2 linked regions of the Lonchura striata genome follow. The protein of the gene in region 1 purifies or fractionates together with the protein of each later gene. This does not show direct contact. Links are inferred from orthologs where the notes say so. Each region holds a gene or a part of one and is shown in the gene's direction. Other genes may lie near its edges.

The links.
Region 2: the proteins of SBF2 (region 1) and MTMR1 purify together in Homo sapiens (affinity purification with mass spectrometry; 3 studies listed by BioGRID and IntAct, with this or other methods). This does not show direct contact. The link is inferred for Lonchura striata from reciprocal best matches to the Homo sapiens genes SBF2 and MTMR1.

Annotation. Positions count from the first base shown.
Region 1 is NC_134608.1:51,958,322-51,974,423, reverse strand, and holds the start of SBF2 (myotubularin-related protein 13), read left to right. Parts: upstream 1-7,339; 5' UTR 7,340-7,488; coding exon 7,489-7,543; intron 7,544-16,102. Other genes in the region: ADM (pro-adrenomedullin), read right to left, coding at 411-551, 865-962. UniProt on the Homo sapiens protein: Guanine nucleotide exchange factor (GEF) which activates RAB21 and possibly RAB28. Promotes the exchange of GDP to GTP, converting inactive GDP-bound Rab proteins into their active GTP-bound form.
Region 2 is NC_134616.1:12,503,669-12,520,144, reverse strand, and holds the start of MTMR1 (phosphatidylinositol-3-phosphate phosphatase MTMR1), read left to right. Parts: upstream 1-7,914; 5' UTR 7,915-8,016; intron 8,017-11,205; 5' UTR 11,206-11,311; intron 11,312-13,820; 5' UTR 13,821-13,844; intron 13,845-16,029; exon of another isoform or gene 16,030-16,086; intron 16,087-16,476. Other genes in the region: MTM1 (myotubularin), read left to right, coding at 787-879, 1,696-1,809, 2,120-2,296, 4,548-4,715. UniProt on the Homo sapiens protein: Lipid phosphatase that specifically dephosphorylates the D-3 position of phosphatidylinositol 3-phosphate, generating phosphatidylinositol. Could also dephosphorylate phosphatidylinositol 3,5-bisphosphate to produce phosphatidylinositol 5-phosphate.

The DNA of each region.
Region 1 (16,102 bases):
CGAGGGGAGGGGAGGGCAGAGGGCCCCCAGGCTGGAGACGGGCTCGTCCCCACGGTGCCCAGCAGTCCCGGCTGTGCCCTCCGCGGGAGCGCGGAGCACAGCCTGCTGCCCATGCGAGGAGAGGCCCCGCCGCTTTACGGCTGTTACTTTTCCCTATGCATCCAGGGCTCGAGTTACTATTTATATCTGACTTTCACGGCAAAGGCGCTACTATCTCCCGCCAGCTAAAGAGCGCAGGGAAAGGAAGGCGGGAGGCTGCTTTCAGCGCGATGCGCAGCCCGGACAGGACCTGCCTCTGGGGCGGGGAGGATCTTCAGCGAGAATAACCCTAAACACCCGGAAACGAGGGGACCCCGAAACTTTCCAATGTCTCGAGCAAGTGCCCGAACCCAAGAAGGGCTGGAATTTACCTGGAAGGCGAGACTCGGGAATCCTCCTTCACGTCCTGGGTGCGTATGAGAGGCAGCACGTCGGCGGCTGCCCCCAGCCCTCGGAGCAAGCCCGCAGGCTTCACGTCCCGCTTGGCTCGGCTTAGTGCCCATTTCGTCCATCTGAAAGAGCACAAGGGAAGAGGAGAGCCTGTTATCGCAAGTCTGCAGGGGCGGGAGCCAAACCAAATAGATTCGAGAGGCGAAAAACTTTGCCAGCGCCGAGATTTTTTTTTCCTTTTTTTTTTTTTTTTTCTTTTTTTTTTTTTTTTTTCCTCCCCGCAAAGTTTCCTGAAAGGGCACGAGGCCTTTAAGGAGCTGAGCAATTCCTGCAGGGAATCCAGTGCCTGTGATCGCTGCCGGAGCCAGGCGCGGGGGCTCGGCAGCTCGACGCGCGGCGCGGGGCGCTGGCAGGAGGGCGCGCTCCGATACTCACTTTCTTTTGAACTCTGTCGCTACGTCCACTCTTGCAGCATCCACCCCGAAGAAAGTCACAGAGCCGAGATAGAGCAGGGCTACGTGAAGTAGTTTCATTCTGGCTGGGCTCCTGCTGGAAGGGAAAGGGCAGAACTATAAGCATGCTTGCTAACAAAAGTCAAGTAAGGACTGTCCTTTATTCCTGGTGATTCCAGAGACCTCCTTCCCTCGCAGAGCCCCCAGGCTACCGGGGACTTTGTGTCTGATATGAACCAGAAGCTAATATTTGCTCAACAACTTATCACAGAGTAAATAACAGAGCCTCCAAAGTTTACGTTTGTCGAGAGTTTAGTTGCAGAGGCGGCTGAAAACCAGCAGGATTTCCAGAATACCCCCAGCGGCTTGCACTAGGATTTAGCAAACCCACAGGATCAGAGAGAGCTGGCTATCGGACGCATCGTTTCCAAACTCCAGCAAGTGTTTTGATGCCGGGAAGTTTATTCCCTGATAGCTCCTCTTCCCAATTCACACGCAGAACCAACTGGTTCTGGATCTTATGTTGTGAACTGCAGCTGATGCCAAGAGCCAGTGCAAGACTCCACAGCATAACTCCAAACTCTTCCAAACAGTCCAAATTTAGTAGAATTTTACTTGCGTTCCACCTCCCCTGAATCTTTTGTTGCTGCCAAGGACGGGGGGAAAAAATAGCTCTTACCTGACAGTGAGGATAATCCACTGAGACAAATGTTTTTGTAGTAGCGATCCGAGCTCGCAGGGTTTCCTGAGAAGAGAGAACTCCTCCTTTGTGTGTATGTGTGTGTGTGTGAAGTAATCACTGCCGAGCTCTGCGCTCCACTGCTCGCTTTTATAGAGCAGCGCTGAGAAGTGGGTGGACCTTGGCGTGGCTGGGCGATCTCTCTTTTGGCACCCCCCACCCCCACATTTCAAGCACTCCTTAAGCATTCTGACCTGGATTGGGGGCAACACGGAGGGGGGAAAAGAGGATTATTGAAAATTGTCTTCAACAACCCCCTTGGTATTTTGTTAATTATAACGGCAGCTTTTAGGATCCTGAGTTATGGCACAACTTGCAAAATCCGATGAGCCCCTCAGCCTGTTTTACTGGGGACAGACATTTTAACCGTCAAAATATAATTATATTTATGCTGTCTGTAGCATAATTTCTCATTCTAGACATCTTAGCTTCAGGTGGGTGAAAGCAGGGGAGTGGAAACCGGATTCAATTAAATCTAAAATCCATGAAAATCAATCAAATATCAAAGTTCCAAAAATAAACCCATATTTGGACAACGTGAATTTATGATGAGTAACTGGAATGACAGCCTTCTTTACATAAGTAATGAGGTGGCAAATCGGGCATCATTAATATTTATGACAACTTGGGTGCATTTTTTATCTAACAAAATGAATTTTATTTACTTGATCGATTCAAGTAGATCACGACTCAAATGGTTTTGGCAGATGAAGGTTAGAGGCCAGTTCTGTGCCTTGGAACAGAGCAAGTGGCATTGCTTTCAGGCAAACACAGGGTCACTGAAGCGCCTGGGGTTACGGGCGCTGGGAAGATCCGCCGTGCCTTGTGCTATTCCCTATCCGCAAACCTCACGGACGTGAGTGCGGTTACTTCCCGGTCAGATAGCTGAACCAGTGCAGGATCGGGGTCTCTTACAGCGTTCTCCTGGCTGGCCAGCAGCAAAACCTTAGTCTGACCACCTTGTTGTTGGGTTTTTTACAGTCTTTAACGCCTTTGCTCCGTGACGCTTCAGAAATGCAGAGGTCCGGCTTCGCAGGGGGTGCTGGAAGCCAGCAGCGGAGGGACCGTGTCTCCGCTTACTTGTCGCAGTGCAAATTCGGCGGGACCGAGGGAAATGCCCCGGGAGATCTGCGCCCTGGGGCGCCAGGGTCCCCTGGCCAGCGAGAGACTTTCGGCGGGAAGGAATGAGCTGGTGAGATGTTCCTCTCGCATCTTGCCCCAAGCAAAGCGTTTCAAAAGTCAGGTGAGTGAGTGTGTGCTCGTGACTGTGCCTTTCTAGATAACCGCGGTATATAACAACACCCCGGAGAGGTATGTGCAAGGGGGATGACGGAAACTTTCCTGTGCACGGCTCACTCGGTCTAAGGCGCTCTCTTCCCTCCCTCCCTCCGCTCCCCAGCAGCGTCCAGACATCTGGAGCTTTCTGTCTCCGGCATCTACCTGTGCGGGACAGGCTGGCCCGGCAGCCGGGGAGGGCCAGCACTGCCTGTCGCTGCTCCCCATGGCACCAGCCGGCCGCCCCTCTGCCCCGAGCCCCCTGCGCGGCTCTCGCGGGGCGAGGCCGGTGCCCCGGGCCGGAGCCGGCCGCCGGGCGAGCCCGGATCCGCGGTCCGCCGCACCTGCCCGGCCGAGCGCGGGGCGGAGGCGGCGGCGGCCCCGGAGCGCCGGCAGCCCGCGGGGCTCGCCCCGTCCCTTCCGCCCGCAGCCCCGCGGAGCCGCAGCCCCGTGCCCGCGCCTCGGACCGGCTCCGGAGCACCGACGGGCAGAGCGAGAGGCTCGGGGGGAAACAGGCAGGAAGAAACAGGCGAATAAGTGGTCTAGAACGGGACCGGATCGTGACCAGAGCTGCATCATCCCGGGATGGCTGGATTTTAGAGACCTCATGAGCCAGCTCAAGCTCGTGCGGGTTCAAGCATTTCCTTGATTAGCAGAAGTTGAAACAGAATCTTTTTTTTTTTTTTTTTCTCGAATGAGAAGGCAGGATTTTATGTGATAAGCATTGCTTTGACTCAAATTAAGTCTCCCATTCCAGTAAAAAAAAAAAAAAAAAAAAAAAAAAAAATCACATATTTCCTCAAATGCTGGAAACCCCCTCATTAAAATCCTTGGCTTAAACGGAAAGTGTATTTTGTATACTCTAAGCCAAACAATGAAGAAAAAAATTCCTAGTGATTTAGGATCATTAATAACAGTAGTAACACAACTCTCATGTGCCTTCCATACTGACTGTAACTATCATCTCAGTGATACAAAATTACTTCAAGTAAATTCATGAGGTGGCAAACTCTGACACATAGATGATCAGTTTGTTGCTGATATGATTTGTGAAAGGGCGTCAGCAGGTAAAGCTTGTTCAAATCTACCACAAAACATCATGTTCTTTGTTCAGATGCTCATTTTGTTCTTTCTATGAACTTGCATTCTCATGCAGTTTGGAAATGAGCAATAGTCACTAAATTGGTACTATGATGTAACAGTGGCCACTTAAAAAAAAAATATACCACAAATAGTTATTTCCTTAAAAAACAGACAAACAAACAAACAATTCCACAGAATGTTCCACAGCAATATCATTCACAAGCTGTGAGTCTGAGGCAATGCCAAGCAGTTCAGCAAGACCACTGTGTGATGTGAAGTGCAGGGTCTCCTGGATGCTGCCTCATCCGTGATGGGAAGCTGGCCTGGAGGAGCAGCCAGCCCCTGTTTACTGCTTATCTTGGGTGTACCATTCAACCTCTTAGTGTTCCCATACAGAAGACTTTACAACAAGTATCTGCTCTGCCAGGGACATGGTGAATATGAGTTGCTGTTAATAGAGAATTTTATTCAGGTTGAGATTGATTAGAAAAGGTCTAAAATCTGTGGGTAGCAACGGGGAATCATTGTGAGACAAATATTCTGTGCTGATTATGGAAGAAAACTGTTGTTTGAAGCCAGTGGAAGTGCCTTTGCATGTTTCACTTTGTTTAAACAAATTGTTCTGAATTCATATGCCATGAGTATGAATAGACTGGATTGTATTTCAGGCTGCATGAAATCAGCAGAAAGATAATACTAATAGGAGAATGGCACCCCCTGAAGGATGTAAAACCTCAATCAAGCTCCAAACAGAAAAACCTTACTGTACTCAGCCAGTTCTCTCAGTGCCAAGAGCACAGCAACAAAGGGGTGATTCCATTTTGGTAGTCTTGTTGGAGGTGCTTTGGTGAGCCTTATGTCTGACAGCTCTGACTATACCAAACAAAGCCTCCAAAGTCAGTGGGGGATGTCTATTGGTAGGGGAAAACCTGGTCAGGGACATGGCTGCCCCCTGTTCTGGCATAGGTTGGGGTGACACTGGCTAGAGACTGCAGGCAGTGTGAATTCCCTGTTTCCTGAAGGAGGAGTGAAATGTAGAAGGTATTGTGGATGTTCACACCTTGTTGTTGGCAAGTGCACAATGTGAGTGTGGCAACATTGTCCCTTGAGTGCTTTCAGGCTCTTGGAGAGGCTGCAGCCTTGCAATTGTTCCCCTGGGTTAAGTACATGAGTAGGGGCTTGTGGAGACCTGTGCCTTGGTGTCCTCTGTGAGCCCCTGCTTCTCCTGTGAGGAGCCAGGCTACCCTGCTGCAAGTGAAGGAATGGTGGTCTGGATGAACATTCAGTTTAACTTTCCATTAGAATTTAGGTGAACAAACACTGTATCTGTTCCACTTCTTCATAAGTCCTAAAAGAATGTAAGATTGCTCTATACTTAAGGGAAGTTGCCCAAAGAAGTTGTGGATGCCACATCCCTGGAAGTGTTTGTGGTGTGGTTGGATGGGTCTGAGCAACCTGGTCTAGTGGAATGTGTCCCTGCCTGTAGCCAGGGGGTGGTTGGAACAGGATGTCTTTAATATCCCTCCTGACCCAAACCATTCTGTGATTCTGTGAATAAATAAGCTCAACTGAACTTTCTATTTCTTATTTAAGACGTGCCACTTCTTATAAACTTTGGCTGTCCTGATCTAGATGGCAGAAGGAGCAAGGCTGTAAAGTGAGCACTATCATTATTGCAAAATCACTAAATAAACATCTTTCTCTTAAACCAGCATTTATTAAGGAAAGGTGTGAGTGATTCTCTCCTGCTAGAGGTGCTGTATTAAAAGGGCAGTGAGATTTTACTATTGAGATTTGTTATTGCATATTGAACCTTTTTATGGATGCAGATACAATAACTCTAAGGTCCTATTTCAGCTCCAAATTAGGTAATTTCTTAGTGTCTTTAAACTTTCGCTCCAGGTTTAGATGTACAAAACATTATCCTTTGTTTTTGTGAACTGTTGTTGTGTCCTACAACCAAAATGCCTATGCACAACTTAACAAAGATATTCCTACCTAACTTCTAGCTAGAAGAAGTGACTGATCCCACAGAGTGCATCCCTTTCTCAAAAAGTATGGTCAATCTTTTTGATGTATATATGACACATTTTTCTTTACTCCTAAACAAGGAAATGTATTAGGATTGGATCTTTACACATGTAATTTTCTTCAAAACAGCTAAATCACGAAGCTGATGACTCCGAGGAGATGTCAACCTCTGCCCTCCGCTGAGAAGGCACAAGTGGGAACACTGCTTGAAGCTTCCTGTCAAATTTGCATCTGGCTTAGCAGCAAGACACTGCATCACCATGTCCCAGCTACGAGGTGTAAGAACGGCGTGTTTGAAGCAGAAATGTCTCTGAGACCACTAAGGACTGTTTGCTGGGTCAGGGTGGATCGTCAGGAGCCAGTTTGCTGCACTTGCACACTCAGCCCAGCATCCACGACTGCTCCTCGCTGGAGCGCAACCCATGTCCTCTGCGCTGGCTCTTCTGTGCTGTCATACGGGACATACATAGACGCTTATCAGAGTGGTTTCTGCAGGCTCCGCCAGCGACCCAAGCGCTGCACTGTCCGCGCGTGTAACCTCAGCATCTCCGCGACTGCTGGCAAAGTCCACTGTGCTTTCGAGGGCCACGGTCCTAAAGGCGCCCGCCTCATCTGCACGTTACAAACAGCACCGCGGCAGCTCCCGGCGCGGCCTCGCTGAGCGCCCCGGCGGCCGCCGCCCGTGCCCGGGCCAGCACGTCCGAGGTCCCGCGGGTCACGCCGAGGCGCCGCTGGGCAGCGCCCGCGGGGAGCAGCGGGGCCGGGCCGGGGACCCGTGCCGACCCTCGGCACCGCCACGGAGCTGAGCGGGGCCGCGGCACGGCTGCCCCCGCACACCCCGGACAAAGCGTGACCGGGACACTTCTGGAAGCGCAATCCCCGATTCCCCAGGCCGGGCTGGCGGGGCCGCCGTTCTCTCGCCGCCGGCTTCCATTTCCGCGGAGGCTCGGCGAGGGCGATGCCCGGCGCCGGCTGCTCCCCGCGGGAGCGGCGAGCGCAGCGCCGCTCAAACGCTTGCGTCTCCCCGGGCACGCGGAGCGCTCCGACCCGCCGCCAGCGTCTGTCGTAAGGGGAACGAGCCCCGCGCCCGCTGCCCCCGGGCGGCCGCCGCGCAGGGGGAGGTTGCCGGGAGACAAAGCCCCGCGCGGGCGGGGCGCGGACCTCCCCCGCCGGGCCCTCCCCGCCCGCGGGGGCTGCGCAGGGAGGCCGCGGCGGCGGCGCGGCGTCCCGGCACGGCGGTCGGGCCGGGGCAGCGGCACTGCGGGACGGCCGGGCCGGGCCGCCCCAGCCCCCGCCCAGCCCCGGGGTCACGGCGAGCGGTCCGGGCGGCGCGCAGGCGCACGGCGTGCCCGCGCCTCCAACATGGCTGAGGTGGTGCCGCTCCTCCTGCGGCGGGCGCGGAGCGGAGGATGCTGAGCCTGCCCCGAGCCGCCGCCGCAGCCGCTGGGGTGGTGAGGCCGAGCCGCGCCCCGCGCAGCCATGGCCAGGCTGGCCGACTACTTCATCGTGGTGGGCTATGACCACGAGAAGACAGGTAGGTGTGGCTGCGCGCAGCGCTGCCCCGCCGCGCCTGGCCGCTCCCCGCGCTCCTGCCCGGCCCCGGCCCCCGCCCGCCTCCGGCCGGGCCGCGGGAGGAGGAGACTGCGGCGCGCACGGGGCGCGCGTCCGGCCGGGGGAGGAGGGGGCGAGCCAAGGGTTAATCCCCCTTGCCCGACGGGGAAGCGGCGGGGCTCCGGCACCGACCGGCCGGGGCAGCCCCGCCCGCCGGGAGCGGCTGCGGCTCCTTCCCGGGAGCGCGGGCAGGTTCAAACGGGGCCCGCGGCCGTGCCGGGCCCGGCGGCCGGAGCCGCGGGGCAGCGCCGGGGCTGCCGCTCCCCACCTGCGTCCCGCCGGCCGCGGCGCGACAGCCGCGCCCCCCGGCAGAACAAAGGCTGCGCTCGGCGAGCGGCGGCTTTGCCCCGTCTGGCTGCGCACCCATCGCCTGTTGAGCGGGGCCGCGGCCCCCGGGGAGCGCCGCACGCCGAATGGGGACGGAATGGGTGCTCTTCCTAAAGCCTCGGGATGCGCCCTGCCTGCTGGGGGGAAAGGGAAGTGGTGTTATCTGCTGGCGTTTTGTGGGCAGAGAGAGAGTGGTTTGTGTTACGTAACTCTCCGTTATGGTACCAGCTTTGTTGCTGCAGAGACCTCAAATGAGTGTTTAAACTGACTGGAAAACGAAGTGATCGTCAACTGGATTGTGTTTGTGCTGCGTATTTCAGAGCGATCCTTTGAATGTATGTTGTTAATAAACAATATTTTAAACAGTCGAATGTTCCCTAATTTATTTGACCATGCATAAACCAAACAACACTCAAGTTTGTTACTCAGAGTAATTCTTTGAAGTAGCAATTGCGTGTCATCTATATCTGTTCATTTGAAAAGTGCAGCTAATAAACTCAGATCATGTTTTTTTTTTTTTAAGAAATACAATTTTTAGAGACATCATTTTATTTGTGGGTTTAAAGATGCAATATCTTACAAAGTTCTGCTAAGATGTCTTGGATTTTACTATTCTGCAATTATCATTCTATTAATTACATCCTGGCTTCCTCTCCCACTCCATTTGATAATAGGTTTGTCCTAATTGTACTGTCAAAATCAAGCCGTGTGAAATAGGAAGTATTTTATTTTAAAAATAAAGACCTTTTGTCTCTCTCCTGTTTGGAACATTTCCCCTGACAAAGTAAAGAGAACCCAAATCAAAACAAGCAACCAGAAAACCCAGATGTGCTTTTAAGAAGACAAAGCAAGTAGGATGCTTAGGGTATGATCAATCTGACAGAGTATGTGAAGTGAAATTACAGATTGCATTGGAAAGCTTTATGTCTGTAAAATGTCTTCATCTGTGGCATTTAAATATGTGTTTAACTTCCTATACATAAATTGTCTCATGAAGGTTGGTAGAATTGCTTGCATGGGTGAAATTGAGCAGATTCAGAAATAAATTCTGAACCTTAATTTAAAAAGGTCATGCCCAGAAAGTAATTGTTTAGACTCTATTATTTAAATTACTTGTTGCTACTTTAATGCTTCGTAAGAAAAATGCTTGAAGGAACAACATTCTATTGAAGACTAGGCATGCATTGTTTTCCAAATTCCTTTACCCCCACATGCAATCCCATCATACATGGAGTACTGACCTTTATTTTTCTTAAAAAACTAGTTTTTTTGATGCACTTATTATGCTTCCTGTTATATGAAAAGCAGGGACAAACATTTCTAGGATTATAGACTAGCTACCCTTGAAACTTTTATATTTTTAAGTATGTTCCTTTTTTTTCTAATTTTTTTTCATCTGCATCTACCTTCTGGCTTGGTTTTAATGTGCTTGATTTGAATGCTGAGTGTAATTACATTTTGCAGTGTTTTCCTTTTCCTTTTTTTCCCAGGCATAATCTGTGGAATAGCTTTGTGTAAACAAGCAAACAAAAATGTTGTACCCTTCCCCCCAACCTGTGTGTCAGCAGCATTTGGGTGATAAACATTTGTGGTTTATAGGGAAGGGTGTTTATAGTAGTGACTGCTCTCCCAGGAAAGCCCCACTGTGTCTTCTGGCTCTCCTCTCACTGCTTTTATGGATTGATTTACATGTGCCAATATCTTACCCCTGAAAATGTGGTAAAGGTGCTGATTTTCTGGCTTTACTCAAAAAACATTTGCTGTAAATATCTAAAATGCAGTGTTAGTGCAGTTTAGGAGCAGATTGGTCGATTTTTCTTGTTTTGGAACAACTTTGTTACTGATGGTACAAGTTTTTATCCAGCGTAGTCTTCGGGGGAAGTGAAGAGTTTTACTGTCCTTGAATAAACCAGAGAGTGTCCTTTGGGAATCAAGCTTTTGAAAGTCCATTCCTATTCTGGTCTAGGCCTGTGTAAATTGATGTTACAGCAGCCCTAGAGCTGCCATTCCTATTGTGTTAAGTCTTCTTTTGGATCCAGCTCACTTTAGGATACTGACCCATCCAAAAGACCTTTCTTGCTGGGTGTGTTACCTGTGTTGCTGCATTGTCCTTGAATGACTTTCCTGCCCATTTTTCAAACAGTGTTGGCTCATCAGGATGTCAGATGAATGCCAGTATTGGCATGAAGGAGGGTCAGGAACGTGCTGACAGACAGATCAATGCACCCTGAATTTAGATCAGCCTAAATGGTCCTAAAGCCTTGGGCACAAAGGTGTTAGTGAGGTGCCTTAGTCTCCTACCTGCTCCAAGGAGACCAAGGGGAGTCCCTGGATCATTTGCCTGCCAGGCAGTTCATTTGTGCTTGGCAAGTTGCACAGAGGCTCTGCCCGGGAGGAGAAGGAGCTTTGCTGTTGACAAGTGTCAGTGGAATTGCAGGCACTTGGGAGTTGGGAAGGCTTTGTGTTGTTGAGGATGACCTGACTCACCCAGCTTTTTCTGTGTTTCAGGTACACTGCTCTGTATTACCACTTGAGTTGCTCGGTCTGTGTTTCTCACCATAAAAGTGAGCTGATCATAGTTTTGATGGCTGTTTTGTATTTTAAGATCCCGTCCTGAGCCACTGCTCAGAACGGCAGCAGCAGTAGCTGCTGGCAGCAGTGTGTGTTAAGTGTCCTGACAGCGTTGGAGAAACCAGATTTATAAATCCCCCAGCTTTACTAAACTCCTTTTTTTTTTTTTTTGTGGGTTTTTTTTTTTTTTTTTTTTTTTTTTTTTTTTGTTCTAACAGTGAAGGCATGAGGGAGGATTTCAGGGACACTTTTTCAGAGTAAAGCAATCAACCTTGGTGTATTTTGCCTTCAGCTGAACCTTGGCTGAGGTAGATAACCACATTTCCCCCCCAGCATATCAGCACAGTATAAAGCTGTTACATAACTGGCTACAAAAGGCACTTAGAGAAGTCTCTGAAAGGAGCAAAGGTGCTACCAAATGTAGGCATTCTGGGTCAACAGCTAGGAGAAATCCCAGGAGGCATTACTGTTCATGCATTTTATTTTTTTCATGGGTTTTGAAGTGTGTTTGATGTGCTTCACCAAAAAATTCTCATTTAATATGTCTGAATAATGGAATGTGGATGGGATTTAGGAAGAACACAGATGTTTGTAAAGATCACAGAAGGGCATGAGAAAATGCCTTTTTTTTTTTTTTTTTTTTTTTTTTTTTTTTTTTTTTTGCTTTGCTGGTATAAGCCCTAATGATAAATTTATCCCTAGAATGTACATCCAGTGATACTTGGAAAAGGTAAAAGAGAGAACATGCTGTGTCTTCCTTAGCTCAGCAGCTGAAAGGTAAGGATAAAGAAGAGGGGATCCAAAGACTGGATTTGATTAATTATCCCATACACCTGTAGCAGCTTTCCTGTAGGATGCTGTTTTGTACCCAGAAGTTAAAGGAGAAAACCTGTGAGGTGGAGCAAGATATTTTCTGTGAGGTTTGGTTGCTCTAAGAGGACAGAGAAGTGCTTTGCTCTTGATTCTGTGTGCAGTTGCAATGTGTAGGACAGAAGGCTTGCAACAGTATAGCAGTTTAATTTGGCTGTTGTCACAACTGATAAATGCTGGTATAACATGTGTAGGCTCTGTTGTGGTTGTTTCTGTTCTGATTTTTATCAACTCCTCTTCAGGGAAGCCTTTATTGTGTAACATAGCTTTGTATCTCAGAGGATTTTGAAACAAGACAAGTGATTGTTGATGGAGTGGGAGAAATTTCTAAATGGAGTTGTCTGATTCTTTTGTTTATTTTCCCGTGAGGAGATTTTGCCTGCGAAGAATATAATATCATGAGGATTTTCTGGTGTATTTGCTGTGTATTCACAGATGGGCATTCCACTGAGCTAGTGTGTGTATAAGGAGTGGATGATTGCTTGATGCCATGACATGCAATCTCTGTAAAACAAAATGTAGAAAAATAAAGGAATAAAGCTGTTACTTCAGTGGCTTTCTTATCTGTGCTGTGGCTTAATTTGATTCAAATGCAATCCAGGGAAATCTCAAAGGGATTAAAAAAGCAACAAAAACTAAATCCTTATTATGGCAGGAGAATTTTTGTAGCTGGGATGAAGCATCAGATGTAGTGCTGGAAGTGGAGCAGCATGCAGGAGTGTGCCTGGCTGCTGCTAGGAGATGGCTGCAGGTGGCTATGGCTGCGTAGGGCATGGCAGCCCAAAGGACTTGCCAACAAATTAGTTGATCAGTCAATGAAATTATGTCTTCCTTGTGCTTTCCTTTTCAAATACAGCAGATTCCACAATACTGTACTGAAACAGAATGAGGAAAAAATATTTCCATTGCATATGGTTTTGTTTGTTTTGATTGTGGTGGTTTTTGTTTCTTTGTTTGGTTTTGTTTTTTTTGTGAGATAAAGCTCTCTTGAAAGTCTGCTTGGAGGACCCCCAGTATTTTTTGGTAGCATGTATTCCTACAGATATTCAAGCAGTTTCTTCTAGTACATAATGTTGACTAAATTATTTCGATTTTGGTTTATGAATTTATCATTTTGGAGAAATCTTAAAATCAGCAGAGATTATGGAGATCTTCTTTCCCTTACACGTCTGTAATGAACGTTTCTAAAGAACTTGGATTTTAGACTCTTTACTCACTCAGTCTTGCCATTATAATATCAACAACAATAAAAATACTTCTTTTTCAGCCTTTCATTTTAAACTGAAGTATTCCTGGAGGCTGATTTTTTTTTTTTTCATTGTAAGCTGTCTTTATTTGTTCTGAAATATGAGGACAAAGATTATGTTCAGGGAAGTAGCATTTCCTATCTTTGTGACTACATTGCAGTCAAGGAACTCTCTCTTCCCTGTTCTGTCCTGGATTAACTTCGTGGATTATCTGACAAAAAGACACTTTTCCTGCAGCCTGTTCATGGAAAACAGTTTGTTATGCAAGCCTGAATAATGTGTAAGCCCTGGCCTTCTATAACCACAATCATATTTTTCAGTGGAGGGACAATGAGACTGACATTTAACTTGTCCAATGTCCCAAACATAACAGTCTTGTCTTGTAACAGTGAGGAATGGAATTATGCTGCTGTGGTAGTTCTCTGCCATCAATTTAAAGTAGCAGCTACCTCCCCAGTTCCTGGTGCTCACAGAGGAGAACCACAGCCACTGTGGAATCATTTGTAAAATGTGTAACAGCAGATTCAGCCTCGATAGCTGTCAGTGAAAGTTGTATCCTGAAATATGTACTGGTGAGTAGGAGCTTTTCCTCTGGTTCATCTCTCCTCTTACTGCTCTTTGCAGTAGCATGAGAATTTCAGACTCCTTGCTTCTATAGTGAAAAAAATTATTTCTAACAACAGAATTATCAGTATTGATGAGATTAATTTTCTTTTGCTTGGTGTTTTGGGAATTGTGTTCCATTTATATGTGTTTGTTGAAATAAATTACTCCTGTGGTGTCAGTGGTATGTTCTGAAGTCGAGGACAATCCAATTAGTGTTGATTGGGATTTGGCAGCTAAATCCCTGCTCATTGAGCCAAGAACATGCTGGTTATTGCTGATCTGCTAGTGACTAGATAGATCCTGATTTCATGTCTCTAATGTTCACAGTTCTCAGTTTTCAGTCTTCTGCAAAATGAATACTATGAAAAAATGCAATAATTGAACAGAGCTTGAATTCTTTGTTTCCTTTTTGGTAGTGTTGTGCTTAAGGTGTCAAAGTAACCACAGAATTTCCACTGAGCTGGATGTGGCTGACGGGCTGTCACTCCTGCAGCCAGAACCAGCACTTGGTGACAGTATTATCTGGAGTTGTGTGTAGCTGTTGTGGAGGAAAGCTGAGATAAAGAAAAAACAAGCTCGTCATAATTCTGGATACAAATTCAGGATAGTTGCATGCAAAACCCCATTGGACCATGGGAGACCTCAGTGGATAAAAAGAGACAAAGGAATGTTACTGGGCTTACAAAATCAATCACTCAGAAAGAAATTCAAGGGGGATAAGTAGAAGGTAGGAATAACGTCCTTATCATGTCATTTTACCATGCTTCATATGTTGTTTCCTCAGATTTAAAACCCCAGAAAATCTATTATCTGATACTTGGATTGATCTTCAGCAAGATAGAAAATACCTTTTCTAAATGTTAGTGTCGGGTTGGGTCTGCTGGAATAGCAGCTGGAAGGAAGATGAGACATTCTGGCAGAGGATTTCTCAGATACTCATGGGTGAAAAGGGATGACAACTCTTCTTTCTGGAGCCTTGACCTCAGTTGTGGAAGGTTCTGGGTTTTGTTGAGCTCCTTTGGCCAGCTGCTGTAGACAGTGTTGGCAGGAGTATGGAGTGGTGTCAGACTCTGGAGTGGGCTGCATGTCCTGGTGGTTTAGGAACCCTTCATAAGACATTGGTCACTCCTCCTGCTTACTGTATTTGACACATTCTGGTACTTTAGAATGTTTTCTGTCTTTTGGGTTTACTCCAAAAGAATCTCTGCCTTATCATCTCTCTCACTTTCTCCTTCATTCTCTTGCTCTCAATATCCATTTAACTCTCCTTATCTACTCTGTGGTTTTCTGAGATGAAAACCACTTGGCCACTCAGTCTGGTTGCTTATGGTTTTCATATTTAAATAAACAAATTCCAATTCATCACACAAGCACCAAAGCCAGGTTTTGTCCCTTCTGTGAATTTTGGGCCTAAAAGTTAGTTTGTTGAATTTTAGTTTAGGTCAAAATAAATCCTTTTCTCCCCAGTCTTATTTCTTGGAAGCAGAAAAAGTATTTGGTATGAAATTTTACTGAAATAATAGAGCTAGAAACAGATGTCAACCATTGAGACTTTATATGATGCATTTAGTTTAAGTTGAAAAATAATTGAAAATAGTTACAGACAGCACCATTAGTGATGCCTGTAGCTGTTAGTTATTTGTGTATCTAAAAAACATCACACTCTTGTCTCTTAGTTTGTTGTAACTGCGCTAGTTAAAGCCCAGGGAACCTTTTAGCTTGACTAGTGTGTTGTTGAAGTCTTCCACAGTTTAAATTTGTGCATTTAGCATGTGTATTTTTGTTTTGGATGAAGAAATGCAGACGCTTGTCCTTTTTCGTGACTATTGTTCTCTGGACTGTAAATCTAATTCTAAATGGCAGTAAGAATATGCTGTATGTGTGACTAACAAAATACTCTAGGCTCAAAAGACAAAATTGTGATCTTGTAATAAATTCAACTGCAATGGAATTTTAATTCTTGAAATATTGTTGAATGGGCATACTGTACTTTTTTAAAAAAAATAGGAAAGCGTTTTTTAATTCTGTTACACAGACTGCTTTTCATAAACATGCAAATTGCAATTGCATAAAAATAGAAGAAAGCCACATGCTTTGTTCCTGCAGAGCTGTTTCTTCTTAATAAATCTGTTTTCCCAGAAAAACACATAGTAGTTTTATGAAGCTCGTGTGATGACTGGGCTGTTACTGGTCCATATTGTTTGTATATGCTATTTTTAATCTAGGTTTAGTAGAAAACATTCTAGTAGAACTTACAAGAGGATTTCCATTTTCTTCTTATAGTGAAGAGAGAAGTAGTAGGTTTGAAATTTTTTAAGAATGTAGAATTTTTAAAAGAAAGTTTCAAAGAAAAATTGGTGATAAAACCAATGTTAAATCCTCTCTAAAACATGGATTTTAACCCACATTTTCTGCCATATTTTTTTGGGTAATTTAACCTATTTAGAGTCTTCCTCTTTTAGGTTGCAAGTTCTTAGAATCTTCAGTCTCTGAGTTTTTTCCTTCAGTGTATTTTGTTCAATGGGCTGCCAGGCAGAATTTGCTTTTTGTGAAGGATCTTAGCCTGGGGCCTCTGCCTGAGCCATAGGTTGTGTCCAGCTGCAGCTGAGGAACAAGTTGGAATTTCCTGTAAAGGGAGGAAAGAGCTGCTGCCTGAGCATTGCCTTTGAGATTCACCCTCCAATCTCTTAGAATTGCAATTATTGAATTATTCTTATTTTATGCCTTTCAGGAGCTGCTTGCTTTTGTGAAATAGGAAGCTAATTAGCATGAGCTTCTCATGATCAGTAAGTTTCAGCAGTGGTAGAAAGTCCAAGGTTTGGAATGGATGCTTTTAGTGGTATTTCCAGGACAAATAAGAT
Region 2 (16,476 bases), on another chromosome or scaffold:
TGTCCTTGAGGCATTAAGCTTGCTATCTTATAGGCAGATAGACAACATCTTAGGTCAACACACCTGCTTTTCTTTTGCCTCCTCCAGCAAGTACATTCAAACAGAATGGAATTATGGAATGCAAAACTATTTTTCCCTGAATCTCTTACCTGTTCTCAGCTATCATATGCAAAAAGGAAGTAAAACAGCTTTTACCAAGTCTGCTTTTTGTCAGTGGGACAAATTCCTTTGATTGTTACTTTGGGCACTTCAGAATAAGAGGCTCACCCAAACTTTAATAATTTTGTGTCAAGAACATGAACGTTTTTTTGATCTTGTTCATGTTTGCCTACTATCTCCAGGTGAATGTTAAGGTTCTGGTATGGAGGAGAAAAAAAAGATTATGTGTGAATAATTTGATGATCTAGGTCCTGCAGTGGCTTAAAGTAAAAAAGAAGACAAAGTATGCAACTTGGGTTTTGACAGACTTACCATGTAAATGTAGTTCAGAATATGTCTTGATTATTCAAGTAATGGATGCTTCAACAGTTCTTGTCTAAAAATCAGCAGGTTTTTATAACAGCACCATTTATCAGTTTGGAATTCTTTTCAGATATCTTTGGAACAGCTTTGCAGTATTTCTGTATCTGAGTCTCTCTACCTTGGTGCAGTAACTACTTTTGAAATTATAACAGTGGGTTGCTTTATTGCAAAAGAATTAATGCTGGAGTACAAAATAAGAAAACATGTCTGTTTCCATAAAATACCATGTTTCAGTTAACAGGAGGCTGCTTTGCTTCATTTCAGAGAATAGGCCATGGTGATAAAAATCATGCTGATACAGACAGATCGCCCATCTTTCTCCAGTTTATTGACTGTGTGTGGCAGATGTCTAAACAGGTATGTGGTGTTGTTCTTCAGTAGGTAACAGTGTGAAGAGATTACTGAACTAAAACCCAACATCTTTATTTTTTCTTTTGAAAAAAGTATTTGAAGAGGACAGCATACCCCTCTGCTCTGACCAGTAGTAAAAAAAGAGTGCATTTACCTTGGTGAAAGTGATATACAGGCTGTGGTTATGTTGCTGGATATGGCCCTAGCTGTGCAGGCATGGCTGGTGTTCCTGGATACAGGATTCTCAGAGACATTCTGAGGGATGTTTCACACCCGGCAGAAAGCTTTTACAGGAATTGCACCCAATTGTCTTAATGGAATCTGTTGTTTTGTTTGACCATTTTGTGAAGCTGTCCCTTGAACTGCAAGGACATGTCTTATTTTATCTATGCTTAAAAAGGAAGCTAGGGAGCTTCTGAGTGCTGTGATTTAAACATTTTAATGTCAGTAAGTAATGAAACAAAGCAGTGAACTTAGTCCACTTAGGGCTAAAGGATCGGGACCTTTATTTTCCTGTATGGTGCTGCAATGTAAGAGTGCACTGAAGAGATCTTGTTCTGTCTTGCTAGTAAAAGTACCATTCTGTACTTTATTCTTTTTATAAATTAAAGGTAGGTAGAATGCTTTGAGAAGAGATTTTTCAGTGGCTTGTTTGAGAAAGCTGAACACCTTGTGTCATTAGAACACTTAGTCTGCTATAAAATACATAAAAGTATTACCTAAAAAATTTTTTGTAGAGGTATCCACACTTCTAAACGTTACTTTCAGCATATTCCCCGGCATTTTCCATGTAAACAATGAGTTTGTCTTTCCTGGTTTTAGTTTCCTACAGCCTTTGAATTCAATGAGCAGTTCCTGATTACAATCCTGGATCACTTGTACAGCTGCCGGTTTGGCACTTTCTTGTATAACAGCGAGTTCCTCAGAGAAAAAGAGGTTAGTCAAACCACTGCTTGTGTCATTGCATTGCTGTCTTTAGGTGATTGCAAAATTTTTGGTTGTATTGTATTTGGTTATGGTCCTTGCAGACAGTGATTTTGAACTGGCTTTCTTCATACAGAATACTGCCATGCAGTCACTAAAATACTTGTCAAGCATTGGGTTTGGAATTTTTTAATACAGTAATTTATTATGCCTTTAAGTAAACCAGAAGTGTACTAATTTTAGAATGTAACAATGATGGATTTCTATGATGAATCTTGATTTTATGTCAGTATTTACTGTTCTTATTTTGATTTCATTTTAGAAAGTGACAGAGAAAACTTTATCCTTATGGTCTCTGATAAACAGTGAAAAATCTAAATACACCAATCCTTTTTATAGTAAAGAGCTAAATCGAGCACTCTATCCAGTAGCCAGCATGCGTCATTTAGAGCTCTGGGTTAATTACTACATCAGGTGGAACCCCAGGATTCGGCAACAAGTAAGTGAATTCTCTATAATGTACAGAAAATGCTGTTGGACATTGGAAATAAGGATTTTGTCATAACTGACTTGTAGAGCAGTACCTGTAATCTATTCAGGTCTTTAATATTATATTTGTAAAGATAGAGAAAAAAAGTGTAAGTAATTATTTAGCTGTCTCTTAGCTCATTGAACTTATTTCCCTGCTTAGTAGCAAGTCTTCCTTGAGTTCTTTCTAGCCCTTTTTCTTGGGCACATGTGCAAGGGCATTTTGCTACTAAATCCTGAATGACAATGCTTAGAAATGAGGCTTGCTGATCCCTGAAGAGCTGGGGCATTAGCAACACAAACACATTTGCATTTGCTTGGTCTTTTTCCTTTTGCTGAGAGAGGGTATGAAACAATTTACAAATTAAATTACCTGTTGAGTCATTGAGCCTTTCTCTTCCAAAGCTCTACGAATTGATGGTAAGATTTAATTTTTTTATGTAACATTGATGACCCAGCATTGTTTACACTGTGGATGAAAGCTGTTATTGAAAATTGTACAAGTAGATCAGATTGGAAGTCCAGAAAAGATTTTATCAAATGACACATAGCTCACTTCTGTGGCTTTACTCCATATGGATGGACACTCAGTGTTTGTTACAGTCCTGCTGGAAATCTCAGCCATGTGGCACATAAAGATTTTATATAGAGACTTTTTTGTCCTTTTTAACAGCTTGTGGAGATTTGAGTAGGAGAAGATAGAGGAGCAATTTGTTTGACAGAAGCACTCTTCACAGTCCAGCCCTTGGAATGAGTCAGTAGTTTTCAAGCAATACACTTCCTTTTCCACAGCTGATCTCCTGTATTATTTACAGCACTTTAGAGGCTTCAGGAAAGCCTTGGTAGTTTGCTATGGCTTTTTACAAGTACATTGCCTATTGGAATTGAAAGTCATGGTCTTAAAGCTTTTGTTGCTTGCTGTGAAAGATGAGTATGTTTTGCAAAAAGTGAATGTAAAGATTTATTTTAGAAAGTGAAGGATTATAAGACATGCAAATTAGCTGTAGATCTACTTAAAAATGCAGTTTGCCATTATTCAGGAAAGCTTTTTGGCAGAAGTTTCTCCTTAGAAATGCAAACCCAAGTGACGGTATTCCTATAGCACTACGCTACTACTGGTCCCTAATTTTCACCATTGTTGTACACAAAATGCAACTTTTTTTTCTGCATGTGAAATTTATTGTAAAATTATTTCATCTTTTGTTAAGCAACTGAATAATGAACATGTGGGTTGAACCATTTTTTTATTACCTTTCTTAATGCCATTCCTTAGAATTATGTTCTGCTAGCAAAACTATAATCCTACATCACCAGTCATCTTAGTATTCAGCATTGATCCAGTTTCCATAGTTGCCTCAGCATTCATCTTGATCCTGAGATGGGTGCATAGTGAGTGGTGCATCTCAGAGTGCTGGTTCAACTGGTTTTGAACTGGTGAGGTGAGGTGTTCAAGCATTTGCTGCTGAAACTCCATTGCTGATAGCTTTGAATTACAGGCAGTTAACTGCGAAACAACTTCTAGACAGGTATATTCAGCTGAAGGTAACTTTAGGCTCTCTCTCTCTGCTTTGGACATTTGTAATAGTTCTTTTCCATTTGTTTCATTAGTCTGAAAAGGAAGTTAAGTTCAAAGTGGAAACAGTTAAAAGGCTTTTTCTGAGTAATCTCCTGAAAGCCAGAGCAGTTGATTCTAAACACGTGCAAGTTTACTTAGAGAACTCACTAATAAAAATTTTTATTTCACTTGTTTATTTACACTAAGTTGTAAATTAACTATTAAAAACTCAAGTCAATTTAATCAGTGAGAGAAGTTATTTAAGCTGAAGACACGGATCTCAATCTGATCAATGTAGCTAAAATAATCAGGCTACTGTTTTAGGGAAGATGCTGAGACATTTGGCTTCTGGACTCTAAAACCTTTTAGTAAATCAAGAAAAAATCTTTGGTCAAGGTATACAAGTAACTATCTTGCACACAATATTAGCTAACAAGAAAATAAAATCTATATGTTCCAGCTGATTTTACTGAGTTGGGACAAACAATTTTGTGCAAAGATGGACTTTGGGGGAGGCAGCTGGAAGGCCGAGGCCTCTCAGGTTACAGCAATGGGTATTTCTGTTTAGCTCTGACTGCTACACCTGCCAGGAAGCCCTGGCTACTCGAGCAGCCTGTGTGCAAGTAGTTGGAGTGAAGTGCTAAGACTAACGTGGATCTCTTCCTAGCAGCCAAACCCCGTGGAGCAGCGCTACATGGAGCTCCTTGCGTTGCGTGATGATTATATCAGGAGACTTGAAGAGCTTCAGATCACAAATAATTCTAAGATATCCAATTCATCAGCCTCATCAACATCTCCCTCACAAATGGTGTCCCAAGTACAAACACATTTTTGAAGAAAATGTTGGCTTCTTTCTATACTGTAACAGCAAGTGGTGCTTAACATAGATCTATAGCATAAAGAGGAATATTCTAATGCCTTACATTAGACTGTCCTAACACAAATTATTTTAGACTGTCTTCATTTGAGGAGGACTTCAAAACAAACAAACCCAACTCTTTGATTATGTGCCTTTCAGAACCTGTGGACTGGGAACATTATTAATCAGCTCATAGCCATGGAGGGCTTTGAGTTATTTTGGTAGGTCTGGTACAATTGAAATTAAATTGATTTATTGTTTTCATAAGAATGCTTTAATTTATTACATTTTAGTAAGGAAATTCATGCTCAGTCTTACATGTCATGAATAAACATAATAATGGTAATAGGAATATTGATGTTGTATAAAATTAGGTATATCTTTATTCCTGTTAGGAATACATTCATGATGTTCAGGAGAGAAAAATAAATTTGCAAGGTGTCAGAGAAAAATGTTGAAACTTTGATTACCCAAAAATTCCAGATTTTCCTTTTTTTAAATAAACAGAAATATGGAAGGCATTTCACTGATATGCTTCTAAATAAAAAATTCAAATAGCTCAGTAGATAGCAAAATAAAATGAGCTTTTTATTGTAAATTGATTTTAGTTTTTTTAAAAACAAATTAAAGTTGTACTGGTTTCTGAGAAGTTCTGTTTGGACTAGCTGTTCAGCACTAAAGTACAGTACAAATTATCACTATCTTGGAATATTACAGAATTAAATGTTTCCAAAAGGTTTATAAAATGAAAAACAGAACCACAGAGACATTTCTTAAATATCCAGCAATAGCCATAGTGTTAAAGCTTCTGTTTGTCTTCTAAACATAAATGTGCCTGTTCCAAGGAGCTTTTATACCAAAGTAGACAAAAATTATCAGTCATAAATAATTTTGAAAACTTGTACATTTATACTTTACTGTTTAACTCCTGTTCAGCAAATTCATTCTAAAGTATTTAAGGGGCTTCAGTATCCAAGTTTTGCATATAGTGTGTGCACTTATATTGAACATTCAAGTGAGTTCTAGTATCAAGCCTGCCTTTCAGAGACTTTTTATAAATCTTTAATTTGTTCCTTTCAGGTAATTTTTAAATAGTTGCAAGCATTTCTTATGACAGTACAAACTTTGCTGTTGATATTTAATTAAAATTTTGCATATTCTCAGAAGTTTAATGATATTCAAGCAATCCAGGAAATACTACAAATCAGAATCTGTAAAGGACTCTAATATTGTTATTTTAAAGGAAATATTTTGATGCTTGAGGCTTCTGTCATTGTAAATTATTGTACATGTGGTGAGTTTTGATCTGCAAGATATAATAGGATTATATATAAATTAAGTTTTGTGTAAGTGTATATAATATAGTTTATTAGAAATTCTGCAAGTTTATAAAGTGTAAATATTTTGTATATGAAAACTAAATCTAAAGGTATAGTTGGATAAAGTAAGTCAAAATTTAGAGGACATTGAATATTTAAAACAGTATTTTTTTCAAAGGAATAAAAATATACCGCCTCTGGATTTAATTCAGTATATGCACTGAGTTGTACTATGTTTTCAGGGAAGTTCAGAGCATACAACATGTGTGTTCTAAATATGCAGAATTATATGACTTTTGTCCTCTAAATGTCATTCTCCCATCTATGCTCTCCAGTATGTGTATCCAAAATAACAATGTTGTCCCCCAATCATGACTTGCTAAGATTCATTGCATCAGATAAATGAAGAAGGATACTTAGTTGTCCATGATGCATTTTACATTTTGAAAGCTATGCATACTCTGGTATATTTGCCTTCTACTTACTTGTGGTTTATTTAAAGAAAAAAGCGCTATTTTTATTAGAATATTTAAAATTTCTGTATTTGAGTTTAACATATTGGTGACATCTCTGAGCGGTGTGAAAAAGTTCTGAAAATCTAATAGTTTTTACTGTGTAAACACTACATGATAACCTATTACATTTGGGAAAGTAATGTAATGGAAAGGATCTTTTTGCACTTACTTTATTACGTATTACTTTGTTCATATTGCTCTTCAGCCGAATTTGTCTTTAAAGCTCTCTAACATGGCTCTGTGCGGGCTTGGAATTTTTCAAGTCAGCAAATAAGATACATGTTTTAATTGTTTTTACATATGAGACCAACATAAAGGTGATTTTAATCCAGTATGTTCTGGAAAATACTACTTGTGAATGTAGGCATACAAACTTACCAATGCTAGCAGAACATCTCTCTCCTTCCCCTGTAACTGGGTGTTCTGGGCTGTTGTTCTGCACAGACCTCCCGTCCTCTGTGCACGCTCATCCCTGCCAGGAGCACACCCGGGGAAGCTTCTGAGGTCGTGATGAAACTTGCAGGCGCTGAGTGCCTTTTCTAGGAGGGGTGAAAAAGCAGAGCTGGGGTGTCATCATCACCAGCAATGAATGCCCGATATCCCGTAAGAAATGTCAGTCTTGGAATGCTAGTTTAGGTTTTTTGTATTCTTCCTTCCACGGACATGAGAAGAATAAGCTAAGCTAAATGGGTTTCTGTTACTTATTTAGAAAGGTTTTTGTTGAATGCCTTCTTTATTTGCTCATGCCTTACCCTTCCCCCCAGCATCAGTTACGGCTGTACCCAAGACGTGGCGTGTGTGCTACCTCCTTTTGATGTATTGTTAACCTCTGCCTTGAGTTCAGGTGTTGTGTCGCAGCGAGCATTCTGTCATGCATGAGAACACGCGCTCGGTAACAGCGCAGGATCTCCTCAGTGCTGCCTTCCTCACTACCCGTGTGGGCCGCTCTCCGTGGATGCCGCGGGACTGCTCTGCAGCCGGGCCCTGTGTGCCGGGCCTTGGGCGAACATCCTCCGTCTGCCGTGTATGTGCGGGGAGGGGACAATAAAGATGTCAGTGCTGAACCCCGTGCCTCCAGCAGCCCTTTTCGCGGCGCGTCTCCGTGCTGGGCGGGACGGGCGGGCGGGAGCTGCCGGCCCTCGCCCGGCCCGGCCCGCCCGCCCTCGCGGGAGGCGCGGGGGCCTCTGGGAAGGCGCCGCCGCCGCTGACAGCGCTCGGCGCTGCCGGGGCCGCGGCGGGCCGGGCTGTGGCGGGAGGGCCGGGCTGTGGCGGGCGGGCGGGAGGGCGCCGCCATCCCCGCGGCGCGGCCGGAGCCATGGAGCGGGCGGCGGCGGCGGGGCCGGCGGTGGAGGGCGGCGGCGCCAGCCGGCGAGCCGTGCGGGCGGGGGGCGCCGCGGCGGCGGGCGCGGGGTCGCGGCAGCCCAGCACCGAGACGCTGGACAGGTGAGCGGGGCCGGCGGCCGGGGACGGCCCCGGCGGAGCGGGCGGCGGGAGAGCGGGCGGCGCGGCCTGCGGGGCCGGCCGGGGCAGGCGGCGGGCGCCCCTCGGCCCGAGCCTCGGCCGAGCGCGGTCCCCCGGCCTCGGGGCGGCCTCCCGGACCCCTCCGGCCGAGCAGCTGGGGCTGCAGGCGGGGACCCGGCCGTGTCAGAGATTCCTCCTGCGCTTGCCGTGTGCCGGCGGTGCCGCCGCCTCGGCCGAGGCTGAGGCGGCCGCGGGGCTCTGGCCCGGGGCTGTGGCAGCGTCCTGCAAACCTGAGCCGCGACCGGGGGCTGAGCTCCGCGGGTTTTCAGGCTCTTCCTCGTTGGTTTGCGGTTTTTTTTCCCGTGCGTATATTTAATCTGCAGAGGGGCACCGCTAATCTGTCCCCAGGCGCCGCTGTGCCTCTCAGTATGCAGTGTGTCCCGGAATGCTGTCAGTGTGTGCCCTGTGCCCTGGTGTGTGTGTGTGTCTGTGTGTCAGTGTGTGCCCTGTGCCCTGGTGTGTGTGTGTGTGTCAGTGTGTGCCCTGTGTCCTGGTGTATGTGTGTCAGTGTGTGCTCTGTGCCCTGGTGTGTGTGTGTGTGTGTCAGTGTGTGCTCTGTGCCCTGGTGTGTGTCAGTGTGTGCTCTGTGTCCCTGGTGTGTGTGTGTGTCAGTGTGTGCTCTGTGTCCTGGTGTATGTGTGTCAGTGTGTGCTCTGTGTCCTGGTGTGTGTGTGTCAGTGTGTGCTCTGTGTCCCTGGTGTGTGTGTGTCTGTGTGTCAGTGTGTGCGCTGTGCCCTGGTGTGTGTGTGTCAGTGTGTGCTCTGTGTCCCTGGTGTGTGTGTGTGTCAGTGTGTGCACTGTGCCGTGGTGTGTGTCTGTGTGTCCGGGTGTGCACTGTGCCCTGGTGTGTGTCTGTGTGTCCGGGTGTGCACTGTGCCCTGGTGTGTGTCTGTGTGTCAGTGTGTGCACTGTGCCCTGGTGTGTGTCTTTAAGGGTGTGTGGTGGGTCCACAGGGTCTCACCAGGGCGGTGCCAAGTGGGACCACATCTCCTCTGGCAGCCACTGGCAGAGACATTACTTCACTCAGAAGTTTTCAGCTGAAGGTGGGCTACAGAACTGAGCTTAAAAATACTTTAACATGGAATACAAGTGAATGGAAATCTCACCTTGATGAAAACTGAACAAAAAAGAATATTTTAAATCAGTGCTAGGTTCCAGTCTCTGTATTCTCTCTTTTTTCTCTTAGTAGAAATCTGGTGGTTTACATCATTCTAGTGAGGATGGAAATCAAATGTCCATTTTCTGTCATAAAAGTATACCCCTTTGTATTCCTTATTAATGCACTTCCTTATCCTAATTCTCATTTTCCTTTTTTCTGATCTTGCTCTTTCCTGAGCCAGTTTTATGTCCATTTGTCATAGAGTTCACTTATTTGCCAGTACGGTTGTGGCAGGCCAGGCTAATGTGTGTGACTGCAAATGAGACAATGCAAAGGCAGTCAGTGCTGCTGTGTGTCCCACTGGTGCATAGGAGAAGGCACACTGGTGTGATCAGTGTTCTGTGGAACACTGACACGTCCCCTGGTCTCAGGGGATGGGCCTGCATTCATATTCGTTTTCCTGCTGTTATTAGCTCTGTTGATGTAGTGATTCTTTGTGAAGATAAGCCATAGAAAAATAAATCCCCTTCTTAATTAACAAGTGAGTGCTTATTTGAAAACAAACTTAGGCAAGCCCTGGAAGAGCTACACTGGAGATTAAAGAGATGTGAAAGAAGGAGAAATAAATGAGATAAGAAAAGGGTTTCTGTAGGATTTAGGTGTTGGACTCTTTTGCAGAACTTAAGTGAAGAGTTCTCTAAATCTGGGTTGAGGTTCAGCACTAGCCTGAGAGTTGTCTTTGTTGTTCAAGCAGGACTATCATAGATGTGTTTAGTTGCAAAACAAGATTGTGAGATTTAGTTTTGTGTAGAATGTGAACGTGGGGAGAAAGCTATTAAAATTAATCAGAAAAGTTTTGAAAGATCTTCCATTTCAGGTGTGACGTTGTTGCCTGGATCTGTGCCTTACACCTAGCTATAGTGGCAGAGTTAACATAAGGAAAAACCTCTTTTTCAGTAGGAATTGGTCATCCAAGGCTGTTAACCCAATCTCTTAATGTCTGAGGTGTGGTGCACCTGCTGGGTGCTGGGTATATATAAGTATATTCACTTCAGTGTCATGGAGCATTCATAGCATACAAAGGTAGTTTATGAATTAACTAAAACAAACAAAATTTTTTTTCTTTCTGTATTTGACTACTGAATAAGCATTCAATCTGTAGGAAAGCACAGCTGAATGGTTTGAAGAAAAGTGGCAGTTATCTAAGATAGTGTCTGAAGCTGCAGTAACACTCAGGGAACAGTTCCCTCTGGCATTCCCAGTTTTTCCTTGGATACCAGTGAGTGTTGCAGCAGACCTAGTACACTTAAGACTGTCATTGGTTCTCCCTGTCAGTACTGCATTACTTGAGAGCAGCACTGGTTCAGGGGGCTGTTCTGAAATTGCATCACCTGGGCTTTGGTGCATTTCAGATGCTTTGGGGTTCCTGTAAACACTCTGTGCTGTACAATTCAGTGCTGTGATATGTAAAAGCCCAGCCTGAAGATTATCCAGGGTTATTTCATAAATTGGAAAAAACTGCAGTTAACTAGAAGTTGCCCTTTAAAAAACATGTATTTTCAACATTTAATATAGAATACAATATTAGCATAGTTTAAAATTTTTAATACTAGCATGAAGTAATTAAATTCTGAGGATTTACTGAATGACCAGGACATATTCATAAGGACAGTATAAGGAGTTTCCTATTACTTGGCCAAACTCTTTTCGTGGATGGCTTTAAGAAAAAAGCATGTGAATGGTGAAAATTACACTGGATAAGAAACAGAACATTTTCTATGCTCTTAGGACCCTAACCTCACTTTTAACCCCCTGACAGCTCTGTGTCTCTGACATGATCTAGTAAAATTCTTTTACATAATTTGATCAATAAAACAGTTGTATTCTGCCCACAAGGTAAACTAAGTTTTATGATGTTAGTGATAATTTACAGTGTTGCTTTCTGGATCTGTGCTGTTCAAAATACACATTTTAAATTACTGCTAAATAATTTGAAATTTCTGGTTTTGTAGCCCGACTGGATCCCACGTGGAATGGTGTAAACAGCTGATAGCTGCAACCATTTCGAGTCAGATTTCAGGGTCTGTCCCATCAGAGAGTGTGTCCAGAGACTACAGGGTAAGTGACTTGAGGAATGCATTGATAGTTTTAAGATACAAGAGTGGAAGATGGGGAAAGTCCTTTCTATCTTGATTAGCCAATGGTAAGTACTTGAGTGATCACTGAGTATTTCAGAACTAGAAACATCTCATTATGAATTGGAGTCTCTTGAATTTGCTTCCTGTTTTCCTCCATATTTATAATAGTGCCATTGAAGTCTACAGAATAAAAATTAAGAGAGAAGTGAAAGGAAATTTTAAAAGTCAATGTTTTGAATAAAACATCATAAGTGAGTTGTCTTTTCTTTTGATTACTATGTAAAATAATTAGTAAAGTAGATTATAGTTAAAGGTTGAAATGGTTTCTAGTGTGTGTTATTCAGAGTACAGAATTGAACTCCTCAGATTCCACAAAAAATAAATGAATGTCCTAGTTACTATGCAGGGAACATAATTGAGTCTGATTTTTATGGGGTTTCTCTAGAGACACAGAATTTAACATCAAACAAACAAGTCTCCTTTTTCATTCCTTTCCAGCAACATTTTTAACATTTTTGTCACCAAGGTAATGACTGCACAGTGTGGTTTCTCAGAGTTACACTGTGCTTTTGTGCCCCTGTTCTTTCACACTGACTGCCTGTTCCCTTCATGCAGCCACTCAGCTCAGCTGTCAAGAATGGACCATGGGCAGTTTTTCTCCTCTCACAATGTGACAAAAGTTACCCATGTTTCAATTCCCTTTAAGAAGCCCAACTTGCTGCTGTCTAGATCCTTTTTTCTTCCTAGATATGTAACAGTTTTATTGTCTTCATAGAGAGTGACCACAGGAAGGTTTTTATCTCTTTTTTTGTTTCCTTTTAACTAGATTTTAATTCACATATGCTCTGTGATTACAAAGTATGTTGTCTGGAAACAGCATATTTTAGATTGAGTGACAGCAGGTAAGATTCAGCCTGAGTCTGAGATGAGTCCAAAAAATGTTTTTGGCTGTAGTGTGTTTAAAGTTCAACCTCAGCAGAGTTTCACACTGTTGGCACAGTCAGCAGTTTGTAAAGAGTAGATCTCCCATACTACAGCAGCTGAATTGCAAATGCTTCCTCCAGGTCAAGGCCATCTTTTTTGGTAAAACACTGTGAGAAACCTTACATTTCATCTGTTGATGATGTATTTGCCAAGGGTTTCATTTCAGTAAAACCCATGTGTATAAGCTTGGTGTTCAGTTTATCTCTGAGTAAAATTCATTCCTCTGGAATGAAGAGCACTATTCAATCTTGAGTAACTTCCATCTCTATACCAAACTCATCTCAGGTATTATTTAACAGGAATAAATCTTTTAAGGCCTAATTAAAATTCTACTTCATTCTCTATCTCTGAGAAATGGAAGAAAAGGATTTAAGCCTGATTATTAAATTAAGAATTTTTGTGGATAAATTGTATTTGGCATCATCTCATTGCTGTGATTTGAAATCCCATATTTGTATATAACATGATGGAATTTTTTATAGTTGCTTACTCAGTACCACTAACAGGTTGTGTTCATTCATTATTGCTATGGAATCCAGACACGAAAAGACAATGCCCATATGATAGCTCAGTTTTCCTTTGAGACATCTTTCTCTTTTGATGTGCTTTCTTGGGTCTTCATTACCTTTGGTTACCTCAAATTGCTGCATTTAGAGACTTACAACTCAGAGCCTTCAGATCGGGCCAGATGGGTTTGTTTTCTTCTGGAGCTGGTCAGGCAGTTCTGTTAGTTTGTGCTGGATTTACCAGGAACTCGTTGCTTTATTCTCTCTTTTTTTGTTGTTTAAATTAATATGCTTGGAAAACCAGGTAAATATATTGATTCTTGTGCCTAACAGCATTACTTCATGTTACTCTTATGTGATTTACCTTACCAGGGAGGAGGGAAGCAAAGGGGCAGCTAATGGAGTGGTCAAAACTGGAGAGCACTGGAGGAGCTCTTGCTTGCTAAGCTCTACAGGAACAGTGATCTCAATCTGAGTTGAGCTCTGCTTTGTGTGTCTTTTCTGACACATGCTCTGCCTGCAGAGTGTTCTTGAATGAGGGGCTCATATAAATGAAAATGGCTCAGATTGCTAACCACAAACACCTTCAGAAGTTGAGAAGAATTGTCTTTTTCTGAAAGGTCGGGTGCCTCTCCTTCATGGTTGTTAGTGCAGGCTTATTGTCTTCCACCTAGAAGGATTACCAGGCTCTTTCTTCTCTTTTAACAATAGCACAGTGTAGCAGGATAAGAGGGTGATTAGGAATGAATGTTTTCAAAGAGCTTGGAATTTGTTGCATCACTAAAATTAAGTGTCTGAGATTTTTTTTTAGACCAAAACAATTCTGCAAATGAGAGTTACTAGTTCTGCATAGTTTTGCTTTGTTCTTTCAAAGTCCAGCTATAATTAAAATGTTTGGGAGTCGAATTCTTTTGAAAATCTGATGAAATAAGATGTAGTATCTTTAACAAATCAAATCTATGTGTTTCATTGGATGCTATTTTATATTTTAACTAACAGGTGTACAGGAGGCCAGTTATACGGGTAAGATTACCTTTGGCTAGCAGTGAACAGCCTCCTACCTGTGTGTCTCTTGTGCTGTGTGAGATCTTGGTGTGTCAAGCATTTTTTACCTCATTAGTGGGTTTTATGAACCAGTCAGGCCATTTTGCTATGCAGTGCTAGAGCTTCTTTGCCACAAAAGTGCTTTATATACTTTACAATGTTTTCATGAGCAATGAAAGTCAGTATGTAAGAGAGCAATATTTTAAAATTACGTTATGAATGTGCAATACTAACTTCAGTTTTGTTACATTAATTTTGACAAAATGGATGCTTGCAGTTCAGGTTTACGTGCTTCAGACTGCAGAGTACTGTGTTAGCAGCTCTAACATGTCTGTGCTAAAGAATACCAGTGATAAAAGCATTATGTCTGTGTCTGTCCTATTTAAGTAAGTTCCAAATTCATGCTTGCCTTTGTACTTGTTTTAATTTAGTTTTTACCAAGCTGTGATAGGATTGAAAGTTAGGTTTAAGTTAGGCACTAGTGCAATGACATACATCTTTTTAATTATAATTTTGAGTCTAGGAGTTGCCCACTGTTTATTGAAGATTAAAAAGGGCATGCTTTGTTTTCTTGCCCCTCTCTCTTAGTAACATTTATGGAGTGAGAAATGATCTGGATAGTGTTCTGACATTGTTCATGAAATGCGTCCAACACTTCTATTTCAACAAAGACCTCTTGTTCAGTCTGAAACCAAGAGATGAAGTCTGAATGGTTTCTTTTTCTCATCTCTTGTTTACCTATTTTAAAATGATGTGTTTAGTCCAATCATACAAATCCACAAATTGATCTTAGGTTTTCTTTTGAATAGATAGCATTTCAAATAATTACTCTGAGTAACAAAAACTGGTTTTGTTCAGTTGTTCCCACTTCTATGTAAAGGCTTTGATATTTAAACGGTCTGCTCTGCTGCTTTTGTCTTCCATATATTTAAATTTTTTTTGGTGTATTCGCACATTGTCCTGCTGGTTTTCTTCCAGAGATCACAATGTCTACTTTTCTTCAGTTTCAGAAACAACATAATTATGACCTGAAATTTAAGTAATTTCTAGATGGCAGAATTCTACCCATACCTAAATGTTAGTGACATTATAACTTTATAACTTGAAAAGGTTTTTTAATTACTTACAACTTTTTTTAACGCATGTAGAGTTCAAATTATCTGAAGATATCTGAAGTTTTCCTTCTAAACTGTTTCTTGAGGGTTCTGAAGAAATACTGTAAAAATTAACTTCTAACAAACACTTGTAAATATAGACTGAAGCTGGTTTTACAGTCTGACCAAGTGAGAAGTTCTTTGCATTTGAACTGGGAGTAATAGACTGTCATGAGTACAGCTTCTCTCCAGTTGTTAAAGAAAGAAGACGGAAGAACATTTTTGGCTGAACATGTTAAAATAATTCTTTCAGCTGACCCGATGACATTTGTGCTTCTCTCTAGTGTGCAAAAGGACCTTATGTTTATTAAAGAAATTGAACTAATGTTCAGGATTTGCTGCCAATGATGCAAAAATAAATTACCATGAAAATGTGAATTGTTTGCATATTTTGCTATGAATAGTAATTTTAGATTCTGTAAAGTTACTGGCCAAGTTTCAAACAACAACATAGAAGTTACTAAAAAGATATGTAAAACTGTAAGATTGAGAGTTCAGTTACAACATGTTTTACACAGCAAAGCTTTTTTAAGTGTCTAGGTACTTCTATTTGATGTCGACCTATTTTTTTCTGTGAAAGATTGCATGAGTTTTCCATAATGCTGCCATTGCAAGTTGTACTCAATTTCTTCTATTGATAAGCATGTTGCATACTGAAATTAATTTTCTTCATTGTAAGGTTATTTGTCTTAAAAAGACAGTACATACTTTTATGTTCTTATCTACCAGCACTGACTCTTTTGTGAAAAAGGGAGTAAATTTTTCATTTTGTGTTGTGCCAAGTAGCATTCAAAGGATGGTGCTAATAGCTTGGATTCCCTTCTGTGGAAAGTAGTTTGTGCCAGGAGTGGAAGATTTTGGAAAGCTAAACTGGAGTTAAAGTATATGCTGTCTTTTTAAGGAAATTTTAAAAAGGGAAACAAAAAAAGATAAGATTCTGTCCTTTCACCTGTTGTCTGCAATTTTTTTGCTGTTACTTCTCTCTTGCCCTACTGCTGCCTCATGCAAAGCAGGAGATTCAGGATGGACACAATGGCTATCATTCTGAAGCAGAACCTGATCAGGTGGCAAGTTTTACTCCTCTTTCATTCATTAACTATGTAGCAAGGTACTATAAAGGTACTATAGTACTCATACAGTGCATACAAATCTTACTTTTCTCTCTCAAGAAAAGCCCTAGAAAGCATTTAGTGTGTAACTGGCTATGTGCCAGGCAGAGTTTACTTGTAAGGTCATGTAGTCTAAAATATAATACTGAACATAAGCCCCATCTAACTGAGCACATCCACCCTCAATTTGTAAGCACTGGCCATTTCTCTGCACATTATTTTTTGTGATTGGGTGCTGAATGTAAAATTCCAAAATTTTCCAAAGAAATCTGAAGCCAGAGATCAGCTGAAATATTTTTAGAAATTATTTATTAGTGAGAGCTTGGGATAGTGTGTGTGTAAGCAGAG